Linked DNA regions of Neurospora crassa OR74A. The main gene of each other region encodes a partner of the protein of the gene in region 2 in a complex. Links are inferred from orthologs where the notes say so. Each region holds a gene or a part of one and is shown on either strand. Other genes may lie near its edges.

Region 1 (4,504 bases), about 2.3 Mb from region 2:
CCCGGGTTACTGCAATTCGTTGGCGACGCTGACAAGCCGCCCGCCGAACCTACGCCTGGGCATGGGGTTGCCTTTGAGCAGGGTGTACGCCGAGTACTGGGCTGGTAGCCTGGCGCTGCACAGTCTGGAAGGGTATGGGGTGGATGCGTTCTTGCAGATCTCGAAGCTGGGGAACAAGAATGAGCAGCTGACGACGCGGGCAACGATGGATGCCGTTTAGAGGATATCCAATAAAGTGTAAGTGGGATGGGTGGAAGGGGAGGAGAAAGGAATTATACCCAGTAATGGTTCGGTTCAGAAGAGCATAGGAAGGGCATCACAGTGACCTGGTGTAACGGATAGATTATTCACGCGTGTGCTAAGTCGGGCTTGGTGTACGGAGCAACCTCTTGTATTTTCAACGCAATATTGTTAACTGGGCATGATATGGAAATAGCAACTCACTTTAGTAGCACAGGTTTGCGCTTAGCTTAGAGACCTTTGTCAACTCTCAATTCGAAGCACTACAGTCATTAAGTCAAAGCTTGTACTCAAAAGTGGTAGCCTTTCTCATTATTTGGTATCATTGAAAGGGGGGTTGCTATCAGAATTACATCGTAGCTAAGACGGACAGAAAAAAAAAAACTGGCGTGATGGGGTAAAGTTAAGTGTAAAGGGTGTGGTAAAATGTCAGTTGCCGCTCGAAATCTTCCAAATATCTGTAACTTTTCATCCCCATCTCCTGGGCCTCCCTGCGCGATTCGGGCTATGCAGAAAGGGTCTGTGAGAAGATGAGGGAAACCCGGGCAAGTGTATAAAAACATGAGGAGCCTCCCCTTCTATAACAAGCCTCGATCGATGACCGCGCCATCCTACCAAACCGCAGCATATCCATGAACATCGTCTTTCAAGGTATGTAAGTCGCCCAGTTCGTCTTCACGTAAACATGTCGAAAAAAATCGAGGCGCAGGTACATTAATGCTCGATAGAACGGGAGACGGTGGTCACCCTTGTAGAGGATACCGCAAAAGCCGTGATAACCGCTTAGCGGCGACCGTGGCTGCGAACGGCATTTCCCTGCAGAGACTCGAGTTCCATCTCGAGGGACTTGATCTGGGCGTGGGTCTGTTCAAGGTCCTTGTTGAGACGGTCGCGCTCGGCAATGAGCTTTTGCTCCCACTGCCTGAAACGCTGCTCCTCGATCTTGACCTGTTCTGTGAAGCGCTTGCGGAGAGCCTCCTCCTCCTCCTTGAACTTGGGGTTGTCGAGCTTCCTTGGGCGAGCCTCGCCGAACTTGCGGGTCTCCATTTGCTGGGCGCGGTAAGCCTCGTAGTGCAGCTCCTCTGTTGTGTGGATAAGGTCCAACATGTGGGTGCGGATAAGAATCGAACGGAGCTTCTTGAAGTCGCAGTGTTCCTCGTTCTCGACTTCGGCCACACCCCACGAGTATTGACGGCCCTTGACAATACGTCCATCGCTGGTCTTAACATCCTTCTCGGAGCCGATAACGGCAAAGGGCATAGCGGCCATCAAGCTGCGTGCGTGTTGTGCGGCAGCCTCGTCATCCTCCTCAATAGGTGGCTGGTAGATCTTGATACCCTGAGCTTCGATGACGGCACGGATCTAGAAGTCATGGTTAGCGATGATGGGTGGTATCTTCAAGTAAAGGGAAAAACCTACCCTGGACTTGAACCTCGCCAGGTCGGCAGGGCTGAGAGTGTCGGCCTTGGCAATAACGGGAATGAGGTTGACGCGAGAGCAGAGTCTCTTCATGACCTCGATATCTAGGGGCTTAAGCGTGTGGCCGGTGGGGCGGATGAAGTACAAGCAGGCGTGGACACGGAGATCAATCTTGTCCTGACGGCGGGGTTGTTGCTCCTGGAGCATGTAGGACTCGTGCTGGTCGTCGAGGAATTCGATAATGGGCATCCACGAGTCGCGGTTGTTGACGTAGTCACCAAAGCCGGGGGTGTCGATAACAGTCAGGCGAACTATAAGCTGGTTAGACAGAGCTCTCCTACAAGACACCAAGGTCCCCCTGCGTGATGTGCTGTCGTACCCTTGAAGAACTTCTCCTCGAGCTCAGCCTTTGTGATTTCGATCTCGACGGTCTTGTCGACCTGCTTCTGGTGGCGCCTCTTGTGGTCGGCATAGTTCTTGATGGTCGTGGAGAACAGCGTGTTGATGAAGGTGGTCTTGCCGAGGCCGGACTCGCCAGCAACCTATCCACCCACGCCGTCAGCATTGGTTTTACAAGCGCGAGGTTCGGCAAGCTTTGGACAGTGAAGCGCACCATAATAGTAAAAGCAGCGCCTCTCTTAGCAACAATCTTGTGTCGCTGGTTGGGCAGATTGGCAATGCCAATCGGTGAGGCGCTCTCGGTAGTGGCAGGGGCCATCTTCAGCTGGGCGAAACACGAAACTGGGAGATAATTATGGGTAGAGGATTAAGTCACGATCCCGTTGCTGTAACGGCGAGAAGAAGCACCGGCAATTGGAGAAAAAGAGCGTCAGGCGGGATGCGTGGTGTACGGGTATGGTGGTGGTCGTGAATGGGAATCGAAATTAGGTTGGTGTTGACAGTGGACGGGTGGGAGCGAGAGGCAGACGGGGGATGGAACTGCAGTGGTGAGTGGACGGGGGACCCGTCGTGGAGCTCTGTGCTTTCGTTCAGGGGAATTTACTTGTTCAAATTTCCACACCACATTCATCTGGCCCAACCCAGCACCACACACCCACGCAGGAGAGAGCACCAGCGACGGGGACGGGAGCGCCAGGCCAAACCTAGCCCACACTGACTGAACCCCAAGCACTCCAGGCACTGCAGGGCCGCGGCAGCAGACGGACGGAGCAAGCAGCGAGCAAGCAGCATTCGATTCCATCCTCCAGATGAGGTGCCTGGGCGGGGCCACGGCAGCCGTCTGTGATGATGCCGAGAAGGCGCACGGTACACGATCCATATAATCCAATGGCACCTTTCGAGCCCGGCATTCTGCAGTAGTGTAGAGCTGCCACCACACAAGGCCGCTCTTGACTGGCTGCGCGGCAGGGAAATGAGTGGACCCTCCCCTTTTCCACTTGCTTCCCACACTTCCCCAATTCCAGGTCCCCAGAGACGGACCTACGCTGGCAGCTCTCCACTGAAACGCGCTTGCCAGGTACCCTCGCCGAGCATTTAATCGATGCGTGCCTTCCCTGCTAGCGCCATTGGCGGTGATCAGCCATTCATTGCCATGGAAACTTGGTCGACCCTTTGACCCTTTGATTGCCAGCTCTGCCAGCCTTGCACTGTGCTTGGTGACCGTGCTTGGTGGTGCCGTGCAGTGGTTGGTCTCGCTGCGGTCGGTGAGGCTGCCAGATACGCCAAGTCTTTTGCCAGCTGGTGCCAAAGCGAGGAGCTAACCCGACTCCATTCCCCGCCAAAAAGTTTATGAAATTTTTGGCTGGCAGAATCGCCATTGAACGTACGGGCGGTCTAGGCGCAACAGCAGCAGCCTGTAACTGAACTTCTGTTCCACTTACCTATACAGACTCGAAAGAGTCCTCCAGTTCCTGTACATAATCGAATCCCCAGATACTATCCCAGTTCTGCTCCATCTCCAACGTTGACAGTCGAGGCATGGAATAGTGTTTGAAAATGAAGACCGACTTCAAGTTTTCTAATCTACTGGGCACAGTCTACTGCCAGGGCAACCTCTTGTTCAGCCCGGACGGTACCCATCTCTTCTCGCCCGTTGGCAACAGGGTGACAGTCTTTAACCTTGTCGAGTACGTCTCAAGATTCCCTACACACCTGCCTGGCGCATGGCTTGTAAGCTGGCTAACACGGTCGCAGTAACAAATCATATACCCTTCCCTTCTCCCACCGAAAGAACATTGCGCGTATCGGTCTCACGCCCCAGGGCAACCTCCTACTCTCCATAGACGAAGATGGCCAAGCTATTCTCACCAACGTGCCCCGGCGCGTAGTACTATATCACTTCTCCTTCAAGGCTCCAGTAACGGCTCTCTCCTTTTCGCCATCGGGGCGCCACTTCATTGTTGGACTCGGCAGGAAAATCGAGGTTTGGCACGTTCCCTCAACACCCGACGCCAACGCCGACGGCGAGCTCGAGTTTGCGCCCTTCGTCAAGCACCATACCCACGTCCAACACTTCGACGATGTCCGTCACATCGAGTGGTCCCACGACTCGCGATTCTTCCTCACATCTTCCAAGGATCTCACAGCAAGGATATGGAGTGTTGATCAAGAGGAGGGGTTCACACCTACAGTTCTGTCCGGTCACAGGCAGGGTGTCGTGGGCGCGTGGTTTTCCAAGGATCAAGAGACGATTTACACAGTCAGCAAGGACGGCGCCGTATTCGACTGGCAATACGTTGCGAAGCCTGGACAGGACGAGGATATGGTGGACGACGATGACCTGGCCTGGAGGATAGTCAACAAGCACTATTTCATGCAGAACAGCGCCACCGTACGATGCGCCGCTTTCCATCCCGAATCGAACTTGCTGGTTGCCGGTTTCTCG
Region 2 (4,574 bases):
TACTTCCCTTACCATCTTGTACATTCAAGTGAGTGGATCAGGCTTTCCGCACGATGACTGGAGATGGGAATGATGGACTCCAGCTAGAATCCTCTTGTCTGACTTCTTCACATTTGTTGACCTGGACGCCGGAGTCACGGAGAAGGATCGGGGCCAGACCGTCCCAACGGGCAGTCAGCAAGTGGGGCAGTCACAGGCATGGGATTTTTCTTTCAACACTGCCCGCCAATCGAATGCCAAGCATGTCCGCTAACGCTTGCCTACTTACATACCTCTAGCCAGAAAGGTCGATGGCGGAGATGGGGGTCGCTATCCACGATTTTTACGATAAGCACAGTGCAACAAGGGTCATTCTGGCCCAAACCTTGTCGGCTTCAGTTGGCGATGGAGATTCGTGGGCATCGCGATGATCACTTGGCAGATGCCGCGAGCGGTCTCACTACACCACAACGTGAGAGAACGTGCTCCATACGTGCCCGTACGTCGTGTACTGGGGTCACTGCAGCATCTCACCTGGACTTAGGTTGGACGCCCACGACGGTCTACGGCCATGATGGTTCAGATCGGTCCGATGATGGTCGCTGAACCCAGCGTCGACTCATAATCGAAGTCATAAGCAGAAAAGTGTGCGTCAAGTTGCCTCTGCTGATGAGGTTTTGACTTGCTGAGGACAGAGTGAATCAGCAGAATTTTCAAGTTTGCCTTCCAAAACCTGCCCGGCTCTGGAGGCCTAATTGAGTTGAGAGACCCTAAACGTTAGAAGCAAATCACCGCAGCCCGACGCCGGTGAGAAGGCGAGATGTAAACACCCGTCCAATATTAGCAGCTCGCAGTTCAGACGAAAAGCAACTTCTAAACTATCTTGCACCTATGAGGTACCTTGTAACTTGTGTATATGAAGCCGGCATGTCACCAATATCATTTACCCTACATCATGTCTCTGGCCGGGATCCCTGGAGAGAACGCTAGCACGCAAGACACGCCAGCCAAATGCTGAAGCATGTGGTGCCAGGAAGCGACGCGCGACGGGCAACCTGGAAATACACTACCTGAATGCGATGTACATGAACGGGCTTTGTACGATAAGAACAACAATGGCATGTTTAGGTTCATCTGGCTAGGCGTAGGTACCTGAGGGGATTTTCAGTTCAGACGAGCAGACCGGGCATGCAATGGCCGAGTGTAGAGTCAAACAAGTGACAGGAGGAGCTTGACCCTAAAAAGACGTGACCCATGACAATGGGCACCTTGCCTATGCTGGAATAGAATTGAAGGTCAAATACCTCTAGGTGGTGGTGTAGGGCAAGCGACAAGACTCATGGGCAGCAAATGGAAGTAGCGGACTGGGGCTGGGTGGTCGCCGGCGCAGTGCAGGCATCATGGAGTGGTCCAACGGGGCGCCTCCCGCTGCAGTGCCCTCGACCCGACTGTCCTGCCCGCACTGGCCAGTGCCCCGCAAATTTTCATAGCAACCCCATTGATAGCTTTTCTCCCCTCCCGGTCCCCTCCAGACCCGACCCTCGCTCAACATTTCTTGCACTGCTGCACAACAAGCCTTCTCTGCCTGGACCGACCGGCAACCACAGAACTTTTTGCCTTTCCCACCAGCACCGGGGCCCCTTCATCAATCTCTACACCCGACCGCTTCTTCAATCCAAATTTGCCCTTCCTTCTCCCATTTCTCCCTCCGACATCCACTGTACGTCGGTCGCAGGGTTCTACCACCGCTTCCTTCTCTGTATCCCAACTCATTTCCTTCTCTTGACCAGAACCAGACACAATGGCCGAGCCCATCAGAAACAAGCGGGCTGATCCCCCCATCGCTCCGTGAGTTTTCATCCCCAGACTTGATGGGATGCCCATCCCGAGTATCGCGTACCGTTACTGACCAGCCTTCGCTTCAGCACCCCCCAGAACACTCCTCTTAACACTGCCCCCATCTCGTCGCACGCTCAGCAGCCCGGTGTTGCCAGCATCAAGGAGGGTGAGTGAAGATTCTTGCTGCTGCTGAGACTATTTGGTAGTTTTCTGGGCTTGTCGCTAAACTTACTGTTCGTTGCAGAGGATCTTGACCGTGCCGCCGCCGCTTCCATCTTCGCCAAGGACCCTAGACTTGTGTCCCTTATCCAGGGTCGTCTCGGCTCTCTTGTCGGTCGTTCGTCCGGCTACATTGAGTCTCTCCCTACCGATGTCAAGCGTCGTGTCGCTGGCCTGAAGGGCATTCAGAAGGAGCACTCCAAGCTCGAGGCCGAGTTCCAGGAGGAGGTCCTCCAGCTCGAGAAGAAGTACTTTGCCAAGTTCACTCCTCTTTACCAACAGCGTGCCGCCATTGTCAACGGCCAGACTGAGCCCACTGAGGACCAGGTCCAGGCCGGTGAGGAGGATGAGGAGGAGGAGGATGAGGAGACCGAGGCCGCCCCCCAGGAGGAGAAGGCTACCGAGTCTGCCGAGAAGGTCTCTGGTATCCCCGAGTTCTGGCTCTCTGCCATGAAGAACCAGATCTCCCTCGCCGAGATGATCACCGACCGCGACGAGGAGGCCCTCAAGTCCCTTACCGACATCCGCATGGAGTACCTTGACAAGCCCGGATTCCGCCTCATCTTCGAGTTCGCTGAGAACGAGTACTTCACCAACAAGACTATCACCAAGACCTACTACTACCAGAACGAGAGCGGCTATGGTGGCGACTTTATCTACGATCACGCCGAGGGTGACAAGATCAACTGGAAGGAGGACAAGGATCTTACTGTCCGCGTTGAGCAGAAGAAGCAACGCAACAAGAGTGAGTTGCAGTTCCAGCTTGAATTTTCTCAAACTTGCTCACTAACAAATTGCACAGCCACCAAGCAGACCCGCATCGTCAAGAAGACCGTTCCTACCGAGTCTTTCTTCAACTTCTTCTCCCCCCCTAAGGCCCCCACTGATGACGACGAGTCTACCACCTCCGATATTGAGGAGCGTCTTGAGCTCGACTACCAGCTCGGTGAGGATATCAAGGAGAAGCTTATTCCCCGCGCCATCGACTGGTTCACTGGCGAGGCCCTCGCCTTTGAGGAGCTCGATGAGGAGGACTTCGAGGACGCCGAGTTCGATGATGAGGATGATGAGGATGATGAAGATGCCAGCGAGGACCAGGATGACGAGGATGAGAGCGATGAAGACGATGTAAGACTTTCTGAATTTTCCCCAACACATGCTATGCTCTGCAGGTATGCTGACAAATTTCACAGGAGGACGGCAGCAAGCCCAAGCAGGAGGCTGCTGAGTGCAAGCAGAGCTAAACGCTGATCGCTGAATGAACACGAAAATGATACCACTATACCACGCAGGCAAGGGGCAGAACGCCCAATGACATTTGGCGTCTGAGTTCCAAATTATTGAGGGTCATGCATGACCGCACCGGGGTGGCCGTGGGCTCAGGAAGAACAGGAGTGTGCGGATGGCCGGAGCTTGTGGTGGATCGATAACCATTCTACAGAATTTGAATTGGTCACATGAGGAGTTGGCTTCAGCACCTGCCTTGACGCTGTGGTTGTCTCTCATAAGTCTTAGCAGGATAGTTCGTCCTGACCCCTGAAGCAGTGGCACGTCAGAGCGCAAGGATGGGAGCAGATATGCGAACTAAACCGGAACAAGGGTCGATTTGTGCGTAAAGGGATGATATTATACGGGACAAAAGCAGTGATTCTAGGAGGATTTAGGTGTTGATTTCATAGTACAGCATTGCAGGTGTTTCTACATCACAAACCGTCATCCAACAGCGTGACTCGATGTAGACTGTCTGACTGTCAAGTTCATTAGGCCACGACACCAGGGGCGGATGACTTCTCCAAGGAGTTCTCAGATGGATGTAAATCGTCATGACCCTTGTTAGCCTCGCGTGATGTAGATAGAGTAAACCTCAACGGACGAAAGAGTCGCCGAGCTGAGGCAGTGCGTGCCTGGAAGGCCTGAAGGATGGGAGCTGGGCTTCTGGAAATTTAGTTGGCGATGTCTCTACTGACACGCAAGCTTGGCGGCTCCCGGTCGAGTTTGAAGGTAGGTAGTAAGTACCTCGAGACTTGGAAGTAAACTAAATAATGGAACCCGGGAAGTTGTTACACTATTCAGTGCTCGGGACACGAGGAGAAATAAGAGACCATCTGCGCTGAATCGAGTGAAAGCTGTCTACATGAAAACATACTGGCTCGGACAAAGTCAAGGGGACAACAAAGCCATGTCAGGTCGCTGTGGCAGTTTCCTATACATTGTGCGGACAGTCAGCTCGATTCTTGCGAGTCCTTCTTCTCCTGAGGTGGAAAAAAAAGAGGAGCCCGGGCAAGAAGACGGGAAGTACGGATAGCATGGGAAGAACACACGCCACATCTCATATTTCCATTTTTACTCTACGTTAAGCAATACAGCCCGATTCTATGTTATTCAAAGGGCTGTCAAATTGAGCAAGCGACCAACATACACTGCCAACTGAGTGCTTGCCTTCACAGCGGATCTCTTATTCATTCTATGATTCCAGTGGCGTAATTCGTCATCGTCAAGATTTTCTTTTGGTTGCCTGAGCTACCCACCGGATCCAG
Region 3 (4,351 bases), on a different chromosome or scaffold from region 2:
GTACGTACTTATCCGCCATCTTGATGTGGAATCCACCTTGAGGATGAGACAAACCGAGAGTCGACATTTGGCTGTTTGATAGTCCATGTTGGGATGAATTGATAGCTTTACTGGTTTGAATTTACAATGAGCGTTGAGCCCAAAGTTATGTGGTATCATCGATATCCTGGGGAACGCTCCCGGTGCCCTTTTCGATACACACCGGCGCGAACACTTTTGGTATATGTACAGAATAGTATACATTGTCTCGCTTCACACATGGACACCTAGATCGTACACAGATGTTGTGTGGTATGGGACGGATACAGCAACTGAAGTCAAGTGCCATCTTTCCCCGGGCATTATCACATGCCCTGATCCCATCATCCTCCCTCTCCTCTCTCCAACTCAGCATGCGCCGCTTAGTAGGCCTTGGCGTTGCTGCCACCATTACGGTCCATGAAGCCCTTGAGCTCTGTTGGGGTGTCATCAGTCAGTCAGCATATCTCCCTAGCACCATAAAGACATGAAGTATCCCAGCAGTTCCATCACATACTTCCCAGGCAGGTGGAGCACAAGTGGTGCATCCGCTTGAGGTTGCCGCAAGCCGGGCACCGGTTGAGATGTGTCACGTCCTTGAGCGCCTTGCCGGCCATCTGCCTGTGTCTCTTCTTCATGTGCGACGTCTTCTTCTTGGGCACGGCGCGCAGGATGCCTTCCCAGATGTCCTCGAGCAGCGACGGTATCGACGGGAGGAGCGAGATGGCGGCGGCGGGCACGGCGAAGTTGAGGGCGGGGACACCGAAGCGCTGTGTCCTGAGGGTTTGGAAGAAGGTCGAGGGGTTGAAGAGCCGCATGGCGGGGGCGGCAGCAGCAGCAGTCATGGCGGCCATTTTGAAGATTGGGGTATCGGGTTGGTTGCTGGGTGAAGTATACCTAGATGGAATTCGTTTTCGGATATGCGCAAAAAGTATTCTAAGGGAATTTGTAGTTGTCGCGCGAGATATTGGGGCTTCCGGTTCAGTCCCTTGATGATGTCGTGTCTTGCTCCCTCCCTTGTTCAAATTCCAAACCCTGCTGTGTGGCCGTCAAGGTGCTGTGTCCGGGTGGTCGGATCGCGAATCGGGAATCGGTGGACGGAGAGCGGAGTGTGATTTCTCGGACCAAAGCAAAAGGTGCTTCTTCCTCTGCTGGGCTGCCGGGGCCGAAAGTCGAGAACTGGCACCGCGCCCGCGCGGGACGGCAATCGTTGGAGGGGATCCACCCATCTCAGAAAATTCGGGCATGGGTGACACGGACCTACCAACCATTCGCGGTTCCCCCCAGGTCTTTTGTTAGTGCAATTAGTGCAGCACTCGCTGTCAAGTCAGTGCAGGTGCTGCTAAACCCGATTCGGGTGTTCCTGAAGCACTGACCCCACAGGGCCAATCAAACGAGCTGGGCGGCAAGGTGCGTGTCTGCCCCTTTCCCAGCTCCCGTCGTTCAGTGATTCGCAGGTTCAATTTGGCAGTCGACTCCCAGTTAGGTTAGGTTGCCTGGCCCCCTGGAAGTGGAAGGGAAATTGTGTTGTTTGGCAACGTGCAGTAGCAGCAGCAGCAGCAGCAGCAGCAGCGGGCAGCACTGCAGTGACAACCAACAGCCAGCCAGGTCCCGTCTGGCAGTCTTTCTGTAGGGGAAAGCACCATCACGTTGTCTTGGTTGGTGCCGTCGGGTGTCCAGTTCCATCTCCCATCCTCCCATTGCCCGATTGATTGAACCAAGCATCTGATTGCTTGTCCCCTAATTGCACTTTTGTTTCATTTCACGACCACACACACACACACCACTTCTCTTCTTCCCCGTTGTCCATCCCGTCCGTCTCCAGTCCAACCCACGCCCTTCCTTCGACCGCCCGACAACAGCCATCTTCATCTCCATTCGCTTCTCTCTCTTTGTTCCGCCGCCAATTCTCTTCCCGCCATCACCTGCTTTTTGGAATAATAAGTAGCCCCCATCAAGTTCGCAATCATGTCGACCATGGGCCCTGCCACCGTCCACCCCGAGACCCACGTCGGTTTCGACAGCATCACCTCCCAGATTGAGCGCAAGCTGCTCAAGCGCGGCTTCCAGTTCAATGTCATCTGCGTTGGTACGTCTACCTCTCCATTCTCTGCCATCAACCTATGCCCACGCAACTAACACCGCTTCCACCCAGGCCAAACCGGCCTCGGCAAGTCGACCCTCATCAACACCATCTTCGCTTCCCACCTCATCGACTCCAAGGGCCGCCTCCAACCCGACGAGACCGTCCGCTCCACCACCGAGATCCAGTCCGTCTCCCACATCATCGAGGAGAATGGCGTCCGTCTCCGCCTCAACATTGTCGACACCCCCGGCTACGGCGACATGATCAACAACGACCGCTGCTGGGATCCCATTGTCAAGTACATCAAGGACCAGCACTCTGCCTACCTCCGCAAGGAGCTCACTGCCCAGCGTGAGCGCTACATCCAGGACACCCGCATCCACTGCTGCCTCTTCTTCATCCAGCCCTCGGGCCACTCGCTCAAGCCCATCGACATTGTCGTCCTCAAGAAGCTGTCGGATGTCGTCAACGTGGTGCCCGTGATTGCCAAGTCGGACTCCCTTACGCTGGAAGAACGCCAGGCCTTCAAGGAGCGCATCAAGGAGGAGTTTGCCTTCCACAACCTCAAGATGTACCCCTACGACAACGACGAGCTTGACGAGGAGGAGCGCTCCCTGAACCAGCAAATCAAGGTGGGCTTTTGTACTTGCCCCAGAAAGTAACAATAGCTAACGTGACACAGAGCCTCATTCCCTTCGCTGTTGTTGGTTCCGAAAAGAGCATCGTGGTCAACGGCAAGCAGGTCCGCGGTCGCCAGAACCGCTGGGGCGTGATCAACGTGGAGGACGAGAACCACTGCGAATTCATCTACCTCCGAAACTTCCTCCTCCGCACCCACCTCCAGGACCTCATCGAGACCACATCCCAGATCCACTACGAAACCTTCCGTGCCAAGCAGCTATTGGCCCTCAAGGAAAGCAGTGCGCAGGGACACAGCAGCAGGCCAATCAGCCCGGCTGCGGATCGCGAGATGAGCCGCAACTCTCAACGCATGACCATGAACGGCTACTAGGAGAAGCCCAACCACAATCAATGAGGACAGCAAACTTGACGGAGAGTCGGCATGCGCAACACACTGCAATCCCCCGATATAGACGAACGACGACCGATACGCCCCTCGAGGATATGGGGGGCCAGAACTAAAAAGGCTTTGTTTGGGTCGGGAAACAAGCGATGGCGCAAACGGGATGCAATGCGTTTATTCACTACTGCCACGTCTTGTTGGTGATATGGTTATTTCGGTGGAGTGGACTTCTTAACCCCCTAATTTCGTTTTTAGTACCGGAAGCTCCATTGCATCTCTGCAGCTTTTGGGCCGACTTTCTATCTTAATGAGGCCTTGTCAGAGAGTATGCACTTGAGGGCTAGATTCAATATTTTTACGGAATACATACAGATGTGCCGAGAAAGGCGGATGGGAGCTTTCCAGGGAGGGTCCGAGGCAGAGCAGTTTAGAGACGAGGTTCTTGGGCCAGCTTAATTGTAGCCATGTTGTTTTATACAGATGTTCAATACCCAGCTTATTACGTACTTGCCGCTTTGGTTTCTTGACTTTCTTGACTTTGATGATGATGATGATGATGAGGATGAAGATGAATAAGTCTGGCAAAATAACCTGACCTGCTCTGTTTCAAAGAAAAGCCTGGAAGCTCAAGCTGACAATGAACCCAAGTCCCGTCCCGGGATGCCCTAGACTGACGTTAACTCCGGGGGCTGTTTACAGTAAACTCTTTGCCCCACCAATCCACGCGTGCCGTTCTCAGAGACACGTCCCACTCGAGTGGATTTCCCATTTGTGTCATTCCCGCATTCCCACAATTTCCATGTCGTCTTTCTTCTTTCTTTCTCATTCGCATGTCCATCTCATCCTGGAACCCGATCTTAGTCAAGAGACTTAAACCTTGGAATCGCCAAATCCATTCCATCAATCAATCAATCAATAACTCCCGTCGACCTTGATGTAAACAATCATGCGCTTCTTCATCATCGTTACCGACCACACGGATACCCAGTCGCATAGAGGTACACATCGCCACCATCCATAGCCATAACCGTTTACCTAGGTACTTTTGCAACAACATCACCATCCATCGCCATCCACCACCATCCGGAGCCAACCGTGAATAATGACTACGAATAAAATGGCCCCAAAGGACCCAGATATCGATATGATGGATATAGACCACAACGACGACGACGACGACGACGACGATGATGATGACTTTGATGCCGACGAACTAGATGCGT
Region 4 (4,537 bases), on a different chromosome or scaffold from region 2:
CAACTATGTGTGCGCACCGATTAACCAATCATGTGACTTCTCGGGAACACCCGAAGTACAATACTTGTCGTCCGAACCTTTGAGAATTACTTTAATCCTCCGCATGCAATTCTGGAACCAAACTGCCTCTACCTAGTGGGGAAGTAGAGGATACTGTGTATACAGATGTGGTCGTGCCAGAGTGTTTTAGGAATTCCCGAAAGGCCAATGTGTTCGTCTTTGATTTCTGTGACCGAGGCGGGAAAAAATATAAGAAAACGAAGCGTCCAGTCCAGCCCTTCCGGATGTGGGGAAGTTGATCGGATTGTTTCTTTAAAAAGCCAGGCGGCTCCATTCCCGTTCGCTTGTTATGGAGGACGGGAACTGGAGGAGCTTCTATGTATGAATGGAACTGGGGTTTCCACACCCAGGGTGTCAGACCATCAGGGCCAGGCGCATCTTGCAACCACCTCCACATGGAAGCGGTATGCTCCAGGATGCACCGAAAATCGACGGATATGCGCCCAAATGTCCCAAGCCACGCCATTGCCATGTTTCTCTAACCATGGGACATCGAGTTGGTCCCGTGTCTTGCTTTTCTGATCTCATCCAGGGTCTCCGATGATCGACCACCGTGACGGCTTTGAAGAAGAAAAGTGATCCCTATCGACCGCACCGATCAAAATGTCCAGCAAGAACTCACGGGATTTACACCAAAGCACGGCGACAATATTTGGATGCAAGCGCCCGAGCACCACATCCAGAGTGTAGGAGCCTGACGGTAGCCACCATGTCTGTCTCATCAACAGGCGGAAACAGGCGTATAATATAAAAACACATAATCCATGGTATTTGGCCTCCAGCAAAGACAACTTGAAGGAGATGATGCTGTTTGCCCTGACTGAAACAGTCGCTCGTCTGGTTCCGAAGTCGGGTGTGGGATCTAGACGCGCTCAAACCTACCTAGCCCGCCTACCCGTGCCTCGTAGCCAGCCTCAGCAAGTTATGTCCGAATATCATGAGCAGTCATACCAGAGAGCCAAGCACCAAATAGAGTTGCAGAGAAGCGCGAAGCAAATCAAAATGTGAAAGTGCACGGGATTTGGTCTCCAACAAATGCACGTAATTTAATTTTCAGGAGCTCCCTGGCTCATAAGTACTTAGCTCATCGTCACATCCGTGCTAGTACAGTGCGGACATGGCAAATTGAGCCGAGGCGGCATGACCTTTGTGGTTCCTACTCCTTTCTGCTTGCTTGTCAAATGTTTGCTCTTGTTGGTATTGCGTTCTACACTGGTAGCTTAGTGTAGGTCTCATAGGTCTCATGTTGAGATGATGGGTTAGATATTACTCATAGACAAAAGATGAAGTTCCCGTTGCTCGATGCCAGCTACTCAAGGTTAGTATATTGTGTTGACACAAGTTTTGAGATTGGATTTCTCGAGCCCCAGAATTCACACTCATCTTTTTCCCCAAATGCTGGGCTGTAACCATGTCCTGACCAATCATGTGTCCGATTGTGTCAACCCCTGCTTATTAGTTTTCCCCTTAGCATGTCCTTTTAGGTTGCCCACCCGTCAGGCCAGTGGACACTTCCTAATCGAAGTCTAATGTGCCAGCCGGGCCACCAGCGAGCGAGGCCTTGCGACCTTGCGCCCGTGTGCAGTGTTTTACTCGTGGTCCTGGCACTGGTGCGTCGGGCCTGCCATGGCCTGTCCGGCGTCCATCCGGGTTCCAGCACGACACCACCTAACACCACATTTGGCACGTCGAACCTGAACCCCTTTTGAACTGCTCCAAACGGAACGTCGATGCAGCCAGGCACAGGCAATCTAAACACCTACCCAATCTCCATACCCACCCCCCATCCCATCCACAATCATCCATCCATCTTCTTCGACTGAAGCCGCCCTGTCTGCTCGCTGCTGCTGCTGGTGCTTGCTGCTGCCACACTGACTGCCGTCGCTCCTCACACAAAATTTCCCATTCTTTTCTACCGGCAACAACTCAGCATTCTCCTCCCCGTTATCACGTCCCCGTCTTCATTTCGTACCTTACCTTTGGCACTCTTTTCATATTCATACGCGATCCAGCGTTACCTTTCAGATTCACCGGCCAATTGCCTTGGAAATCCGCACTAGGCGGCGCCCATTGACAACTACCCAACCTTTGACAATACGCGAACCATCGAGGTATCTACCCTACCGGCTCGCCTTCCTTCCGGTAAGTTGATGCTGCTTGATCGTGAACTCCGATACTCTCTGTATAGACGCTCGCTCCTGGTCCAGCCCAGAGCACGTATCTACAGCCTCCCCGTCCGGCTCGACAGATACCGAATGGCTCTGTTGCTACTGCCCCAACCTGCCGGTATCTCGTGCTCTTCGTCGTCACAAGCCCCCCTCATAGTTGCCGCTGGGCTGCGCCGATACGAGCAGCCACTCCAGCCAGCCCGTTTGCCTCCACCGCAATCCACGTTGGGGTTTTAGGTGGTGTCGGTGCTGGTAGTACCGGACTCGCACTGCAGGGCACTTGACGAGTGGGCGGTAGCCGTCTGCACGGAGAAGGAGGAAGACACATGCCGGGTGCAATTCAGCTTCCATCTCAATGACTGACGCTATTCGTTTACCTTCCAGACTTCGCGCCTTCCTTACGATCCCGAATTTTTTTACCTTTTTCATCAACCGTTCACTTCTCGACTCGACCGAAACATCACCATCACGGTACCTTCTGCTATAATGGGTAAGCGCTTGCTTTCTGTCCTCTACTTAACCTGCCCATTCGACCAAGCCGCAGGAAGCATCGCCGGATCACCGACCTCCTCGTACCTTACTCTACGGTCCAAGGGCTCAACAAAACCCGACTCAACGCCGCCCTTCGCCGACTTTTCATCTCCCTTCCCCCCACCAACATCACAGCTCGTTCTTCTGATACGATCATCACATTCGTTGTCCGCTTGCCATCTACCGTTTCTTGGGAACCGTCTTTTTTTTGGAAGAGAACCATCTTACCACCCAAATACTTTGTTCAAACGACTCCGCTGCAATGCATTTCGCTACCATGATGCACAATGCCACCCGGGGCCGCGCCAAAAGTGTTCAGTTTGAGAAGAGCTTCGCCAGTCTCGCTGAAACCATCGATGGAAGCGCCTCGCGGGATGGTCCCGTGTCCCCCGTTTCCGTCTCCGGAACACGGACCAGCAGTTTGCCCCTTGGGGAGAACAACGAGATGATCAAGAAGGCTCTACGCCGATACAAGAGCTTGCTGGAAATCGAGGACCCGGCCCCGACGTTGCCAATGACCCAACAATTCTCATACGACGAGCTATATCCCAAGGCTACGGATCCGACTGTGTCCCAGGAGCCATTACCGAAGCGGCCTTTATCCTCTAGTAGTTGAGAGCTCCGCGCACTTGACTGGACATACATTACATACTTTTGGGCACAAGATGATGGATATCATGCTAACGTTGGCTCTATGACAGCTTCGAACGGTATTCCCACCTCTCCTCCTGTTAGGGCGGCTCCCGTACCTCAGTCATCGACTTCCCAGCCATTGCCATCTCAGACGAAACAACATCAAGATGCTTCTGGTTCTGACACCGTGGCCGCAGCTCTCCCTTCTACCTTGAGCGACAACCGAAACATTGTCCGAAGGAAGCTGACGGGATACGTTGGTTTCGCCAACCTTCCCAACCAATGGCACCGCAAGAGCGTCCGCAAGGGCTTCAACTTCAATGTCATGGTTGTTGGTATGTGACGCTTTCTGTGTCCATTGAAGGAGATTTACTAATTCTAGACATGCAGGTGAATCGGGACTCGGAAAGTCGACCCTCGTTAACACTCTCTTTAACACTTCGCTTTACCCTCCCAAGGAGCGCAAGGGACCTAGCCTCGACATTGTTCCCAAGACTGTCACCATTCAGTCTATCAGCGCCGATATTGAAGAGGCTGGTGTTCGCCTCCGTTTGACCGTCGTTGACACTCCTGGCTTCGGCGACTTTGTCAACAACGACGAGTCTTGGCGTCCTATTGTGGACAACATCGAACAGCGCTTCGATGCTTACTTGGATGCCGAAAACAAGGTGAACCGCATGAACATTGTGGACAACAGGATCCATGCCTGTGTGTTCTTCATCCAGCCCACCGGTCACTCGCTCAAGCCTCTTGATATCGAGGTCATGAAGCGTCTCCACACCAAGGTCAACTTGATTCCCGTCATCGCCAAGTCGGATACTCTCACCGATGACGAGATTGCTGCTTTCAAGGCTAGAGTATGTCTTCGGGCCCTACTGGTTCTGCGATCAATACTAACAGTTTATCATAGATTCTTGCGGATATCAAGTACCACAAGGTGCAAATCTTTGAGGGCCCTCGCTACGAACTCGACGATGAGGAGACCATCGCGGAGAACAACGAGATCATGTCCAAGGTCCCCTTCGCTGTTGTCGGTGCGACCAACGAGATCACAAACGCCGATGGCCGTAAGGTTCGCGGTCGCCGTTACCCTTGGGGTGTGATCGAGGTGGACAATGAGGAGCATTGCGACTTTGTGAAGCTCC
Region 5 (4,483 bases), on a different chromosome or scaffold from region 2:
ACTACGCCACGTCCATTCGACACTCTGCACACAACAGTATGTCGAAGTTGCGGGAATATCAAGGGTATGGAGCAATCCAGATATACCAGAGCCGTATGGTTTCTCCACACAACGTTCGTGATCGAGCGAGAATTGTGTACCTATGGCTTTGTTCAGGCCTGACGAGACCTATCCTGGAGGCTCTTTAAGAGAGAGACAATGAGATCAGAAAACAACAATGACGGGATTCAGCAGGGGCGGGCCGACAAGGAGAGCCTCGCATGGCGGCTCGGTTACCAAGTGGAATGTTGGTAATGCGCAGGACGTTGACTGGAGGAAGCTCTGGAGTCTGGTTGCAAGTGAGGGATGGATCGCAAGAGGAAGTTCCCGCCTGCCCCGCGCCGATGACAAGTACCTCTACGCCCCGGGAGTTGGGGACGACGCCTGGATCTCTCGCGATGAGCTGGACTGAGCAAGCCCCGGTGATGGATCGACGGGATCGAAGCACATCCAACACGACATCAACCTGATGATGAAGACGAGAAGCATGCCCGACAGCATGACAGCAGAGACTTGAGCGACACCTAATGCATGTATGTACTATGTACATTAAATGGCTGACAGCTGGCAATGCGCTTGCTTGCCCATACGGCATAGCTGCACCCCCAGTTGCCCACTCTCAGAAGCTCGAATCGCCGGGAGGGGTCTGCAAGACAGCCTGGGGTTGGGGTTACACGCTTTTCCAGAATTAGTCAAGCGTCAGGAGCTTAGCAAATGACCCCCTGATTGCCATGGAGCTGTTGTTAATTGCGGATTGGGACAGGTCTTGCCAATTCCCATCTGATTGCAGCTTCAGGTTAAGACGTCCGTGACGAGTCGAATGAGCTGTGCTCGGTAGATTGGTTGTGTGAAGCAGTGTTTGTACTTGTTAGGTAGTCCACGACATCGAACACTGAAGTGGACTTGAGCTACTGGAGGCTTTTCATGTCCATCTCTTCAGTATTCTATCCAGACGCATCTGGAGGTTGCCGTTCCTCAAGCGTCCACTTCCACTTCCGCCCTGCGATATGAGGTTTCCTGGTCCCGTTTGTCTCCACAGTGTGTTTATTCTAGCCCGTGATGAGGATGGGATCCGTGCTCTGGGCAAAGCAAGGAAGCACAGGAGGTTCCTCCCAAACAGCTGGGATCGCTACTACTGTATACCTAGGTAGGAAGCGTACCTCTAGAGGTTAATTGGAATAGTTGCAGCCCTCTTCAGGGCACTGTGAGAGACCGAGCCAGCGCGCTGCCTCTGGGCTGTCGCTCCCCTCCCGTCCCCTCCCTGCCACGCCCATCAGGTCATTGGCCACTGCTCTGCCCGGAGGTGCACAGGTGGTCCTGGCCGGTCCCCATCATCCCGTCCCGCCCTGTCACTGTGTGGCAGCGTTCACGCCCACGTCCACTCTGGGCAAAGCAGCCCAGTCCAGTCCATTGCAGTAACACCGCAACATTTTGTGAAATTGCACTTGCCATCTTCTCCTTTTCCAATCCGAACGCCCACTCCACGACCTCCCCACGACCTCGATACCTCGCTCTCACACGGCCAACACTACCTCACCTCTACCCGACCCCGTCTCCATCTCCAAGACATCTCTCGGTCGCCGCATTTTTGGTGACTGGATAGCCAATCCCATCAACCATACCACCACTATTCTTCCCCAGTCAATCCTCTGAGGTAGACACTCCCCTTATTACCCTTTTGTTGTTTGTTGGTACGGACCCGTTGTCGAGAAATTAAAGGCGCCAACCGCCAGCTGTCACCATGTCTCTGCCTGCCGTATGTTTTGTTTGTTTGCTTGTCTCGTTCTCGTCGTTCTCTCACCGTCCTGGCACTCCATCTTCGTGTCCTCGACCTACAACACTGCCAATTGCTACCCAAATAAGCTATTCGGTTGCACGTCATGTTCACTAACACCATCTCCTCCCGGCAGAAGATGATGCGCCGCAAGAAGAACGTCAAGAAGGGTATCCAGTTCTGCCTGATGGTCTGTGGCGCCTCAGGAACTGGTGAGTCCTTCCAACCCCCAACGAGTCTATCCCGTCGTGCCCTGATCAAGGATTAACCATTGCATTATCTCCCAGGCCGTACCACCTTTGTCAACACCCTCTGCGGCAAAGAGGTTCTCACTCACAAGGACTCCGATGATCCCGCGACCGCCCACGTTGAGGAAGGCGTCAAGATCAAGCCCATCACAGTTGGTATGCTTCGCACTCGAGTCGAGGATCCTACGGTGCGAGTGGCGGTTGTCTAACTATCTATACTACAGAGCTTGAGCTGGACGAGGAAGGGACGCGTATCGCCCTTACCATCGTCGACACCCCCGGCTTCGGTGACCAGATCGACAATGAAGCCAGCTTCTCCGAGATTGTTGGCTATCTCGAAAGGCAGTACGATGACATTCTTGCGGAGGAGTCGCGCATCAAGCGTAACCCCCGCTTCAGGGACAACCGTGTCCACGCCATGCTCTACTTCATCACCCCGACCGGCCATGGGTAGGTTTCACTTCCTCTGTTACACATCCTGACACATCTTGAATCGCAACTAACATGTGCTATAAGTCTCCGTGAGCTGGACATCGAGCTTATGAAGCGCCTTGCGCCCCGAGTCAACGTCATTCCCGTGATCGGCCGCGCTGATACGCTCACCCCAGCTGAGCTTGCCGAGTCCAAGAAGCTAGTGATGGAGGATATCGAGCATTACCGTATCCCCGTCTACAACTTCCCTTACGATATCGAGGAGGATGATGAGGATACCGTAGAGGAGAACGCCGAACTCAGGGGTCTCATGCCGTTCGCTATTGTCGGCTCGGAAGATATCATCGAGATTGGAGGACGCAAGGTCCGCGCTCGCCAATACCCATGGGGTGTTGTTGAGGTCGACAACCCGCGCCATTCCGACTTCTTGGCTATCCGTTCGGCCTTGTTGCACTCGCATCTCGCCGATCTGAAGGAGATCACCCACGATTTCCTATACGAAAACTACCGTACCGAGAAGCTCAGCAAGAGCGTTGAGGGTGGTGCTGGAGTGTAAGTGTTACCCTGAAGCTTCCGATTGCAACCACGTAGCGGAGTAGAGTACTAACGTTGATATAGTGACTCCTCAATGAACCCTGAGGATCTCGCATCCCAATCCGTCCGACTCAAGGAGGAGCAGCTGCGTCGTGAGGAGGAGAAGCTTCGTGAGATTGAGGTTAAGGTCCAACGCGAGATCAACGAGAAGCGCCAGGAGCTCCTCGCCCGCGAATCTCAGCTTCGTGAGATCGAAGCCCGCATGCAACGCGAAGCGGCGGCTGCTGCCCAAGCAGGGACACCCACTACCAGCCACAGCCATCAGGAAATTAACGGTTCCCCAGATGGAAACTAAGCACCAACGACACTAGCACACACATACCTAATCTGTCGTCTCTGTTTACATCCACATGAACAGCTTCAATACCCCACAGGGCGACCGGGTCATTATACGCAGGCGTTGGTTCTTTTGTGTTGTTCGTTGTTTGATAAAATATTCCCCGCTATTTTGCGACTTTTTTTTTTACTGGAGATGATGGCTCCAAAGAAGACATACGATGGTGACGACGACAACACGGTGAGGGGTTCAGTCTCGACAAGGGCATTCAATCGGGTCGGTATTCAGTGCAGCCTCATCAAATTGACGGGGATACCCGCATTGCGGCATAGGAGCATGTCTTCACCGCAGAGGTTTCGTGTCGATTAGTCAGTGGAACTGGTATGCTCAGCTTGCCTGCCGTCGACGCAGCAAGAAGTACCGAAACAGACTGCTCGGGACAAGAAGAAGGCCTGGGGACGTATTGACGGGAAACGATTATTACCGTATGACTTGTCTTGATTATTCTAGAGGCCTTAGGTTTTGTCCAAGACCTGTGGCACCACCCCGAATTTTCCAACTTCTACTATTGGACTTCTAATGCAGATATCAACTAAATTAAATGCACTTCACTTGTCTCGGATCATATATATAACATTGAGCTAGTGATGAGCGTGTGTGTACTCCTACCACATAGAGATGCTAACACTTAAAAGTTGTTGATTTTGTCAGAGTTGCATTTTACCAAGTTCATGGCTACGTGCTTTTGTTGCTACGACACTTGAAAGCCGCAGATGATGTTGCGCGGGTAAGAGATGTTGGGAGTGATAATATTATATTAGGTCGGAAACGCTGTGCTTTTTTTTTATATAATTCCATAGACGATATAAAGAGGAAAGTCATTCCCGTTCTTGGTTTGTGTTGCTTTTTGGTCCAACATTTCGAGCCTTGAAGCTAACCATACAGTTGCAAACCCATTTTACCAGGTAGAGACCAATTTGAAGCGCAATCAATCGAAAACCGAAATCCAAAGAGCCCTATCCCCGCATGTGATCCCATTTCCCATAACCATCCGTTTACAACCCTTCCCACTGAAATGTCCACAAACCCATCAGCTTGAATCCGTCTCGTACCCGTTTT

The links.
Region 1: naf-1 (region 2) and NCU03795 share a complex: the UniProt entries of both Saccharomyces cerevisiae proteins name them as parts of the GIN4 complex. The link is inferred for Neurospora crassa OR74A from reciprocal best matches to the Saccharomyces cerevisiae genes NAP1 and CDC12.
Region 3: naf-1 (region 2) and NCU03515 share a complex: the UniProt entries of both Saccharomyces cerevisiae proteins name them as parts of the GIN4 complex. The link is inferred for Neurospora crassa OR74A from reciprocal best matches to the Saccharomyces cerevisiae genes NAP1 and CDC10.
Region 4: naf-1 (region 2) and NCU08297 share a complex: the UniProt entries of both Saccharomyces cerevisiae proteins name them as parts of the GIN4 complex. The link is inferred for Neurospora crassa OR74A from reciprocal best matches to the Saccharomyces cerevisiae genes NAP1 and CDC3.
Region 5: naf-1 (region 2) and NCU02464 share a complex: the UniProt entries of both Saccharomyces cerevisiae proteins name them as parts of the GIN4 complex. The link is inferred for Neurospora crassa OR74A from reciprocal best matches to the Saccharomyces cerevisiae genes NAP1 and CDC11.

The regions. Positions count from the first base shown.
Region 1 is NC_026505.1:2,438,931-2,443,434, reverse strand, and holds NCU03795 (cell division control protein 12), read right to left. Parts: upstream 2,887-4,504; 5' UTR 2,378-2,886; coding exon 2,273-2,377; intron 2,202-2,272; coding exon 2,039-2,201; intron 1,971-2,038; coding exon 1,660-1,970; intron 1,603-1,659; coding exon 1,024-1,602; 3' UTR 524-1,023; downstream 1-523. Other genes in the region: stk-24 (pyruvate dehydrogenase kinase), read left to right, coding at 1-220; NCU03794 (periodic tryptophan protein 2), read left to right, coding at 3,616-3,746, 3,814-4,504. UniProt on the Saccharomyces cerevisiae protein: Septins are GTPases involved in cytokinesis that assemble early in the cell cycle as a patch at the incipient bud site and form a ring approximate 15 minutes before bud emergence, which transforms into an hour-glass shaped collar of cortical filaments that spans both sides of the mother-bud neck.
Region 2 is NC_026505.1:4,745,582-4,750,155, reverse strand, and holds naf-1 (nucleosome assembly protein), read left to right. Parts: upstream 1-1,506; 5' UTR 1,507-1,780; coding exon 1,781-1,827; intron 1,828-1,904; coding exon 1,905-1,984; intron 1,985-2,062; coding exon 2,063-2,782; intron 2,783-2,839; coding exon 2,840-3,165; intron 3,166-3,230; coding exon 3,231-3,281; 3' UTR 3,282-3,985; downstream 3,986-4,574. UniProt on the Saccharomyces cerevisiae protein: Acidic protein, which assembles histones into an octamer (in vitro). Involved in the regulation of the localization and the function of the septins during mitosis. Involved in the function of B-type cyclins.
Region 3 is NC_026502.1:407,827-412,177, forward strand, and holds NCU03515 (cell division control protein 10), read left to right. Parts: upstream 1-1,583; 5' UTR 1,584-1,986; coding exon 1,987-2,107; intron 2,108-2,173; coding exon 2,174-2,736; intron 2,737-2,786; coding exon 2,787-3,116; 3' UTR 3,117-3,641; downstream 3,642-4,351. Other genes in the region: NCU03516 (mitochondrial ribosomal protein subunit L32), read right to left, coding at 402-454, 536-872; NCU03514 (hypothetical protein), read left to right, coding at 4,231-4,351. UniProt on the Saccharomyces cerevisiae protein: Septins are GTPases involved in cytokinesis that assemble early in the cell cycle as a patch at the incipient bud site and form a ring approximate 15 minutes before bud emergence, which transforms into an hour-glass shaped collar of cortical filaments that spans both sides of the mother-bud neck.
Region 4 is NC_026504.1:2,496,170-2,500,706, forward strand, and holds the start of NCU08297 (cell division control protein 3), read left to right. Parts: upstream 1-1,607; 5' UTR 1,608-2,202; intron 2,203-2,612; 5' UTR 2,613-2,714; coding exon 2,715-2,718; intron 2,719-3,460; coding exon 3,461-3,727; intron 3,728-3,782; coding exon 3,783-4,249; intron 4,250-4,302; coding exon 4,303-4,537. UniProt on the Saccharomyces cerevisiae protein: Septins are GTPases involved in cytokinesis that assemble early in the cell cycle as a patch at the incipient bud site and form a ring approximate 15 minutes before bud emergence, which transforms into an hour-glass shaped collar of cortical filaments that spans both sides of the mother-bud neck.
Region 5 is NC_026501.1:2,406,111-2,410,593, reverse strand, and holds NCU02464 (neuronal-specific septin-3), read left to right. Parts: upstream 1-1,408; 5' UTR 1,409-1,780; coding exon 1,781-1,795; intron 1,796-1,949; coding exon 1,950-2,025; intron 2,026-2,100; coding exon 2,101-2,217; intron 2,218-2,285; coding exon 2,286-2,511; intron 2,512-2,577; coding exon 2,578-3,045; intron 3,046-3,111; coding exon 3,112-3,382; 3' UTR 3,383-4,065; downstream 4,066-4,483. Other genes in the region: NCU02465 (hypothetical protein), read left to right, coding at 218-451. UniProt on the Saccharomyces cerevisiae protein: Septins are GTPases involved in cytokinesis that assemble early in the cell cycle as a patch at the incipient bud site and form a ring approximate 15 minutes before bud emergence, which transforms into an hour-glass shaped collar of cortical filaments that spans both sides of the mother-bud neck.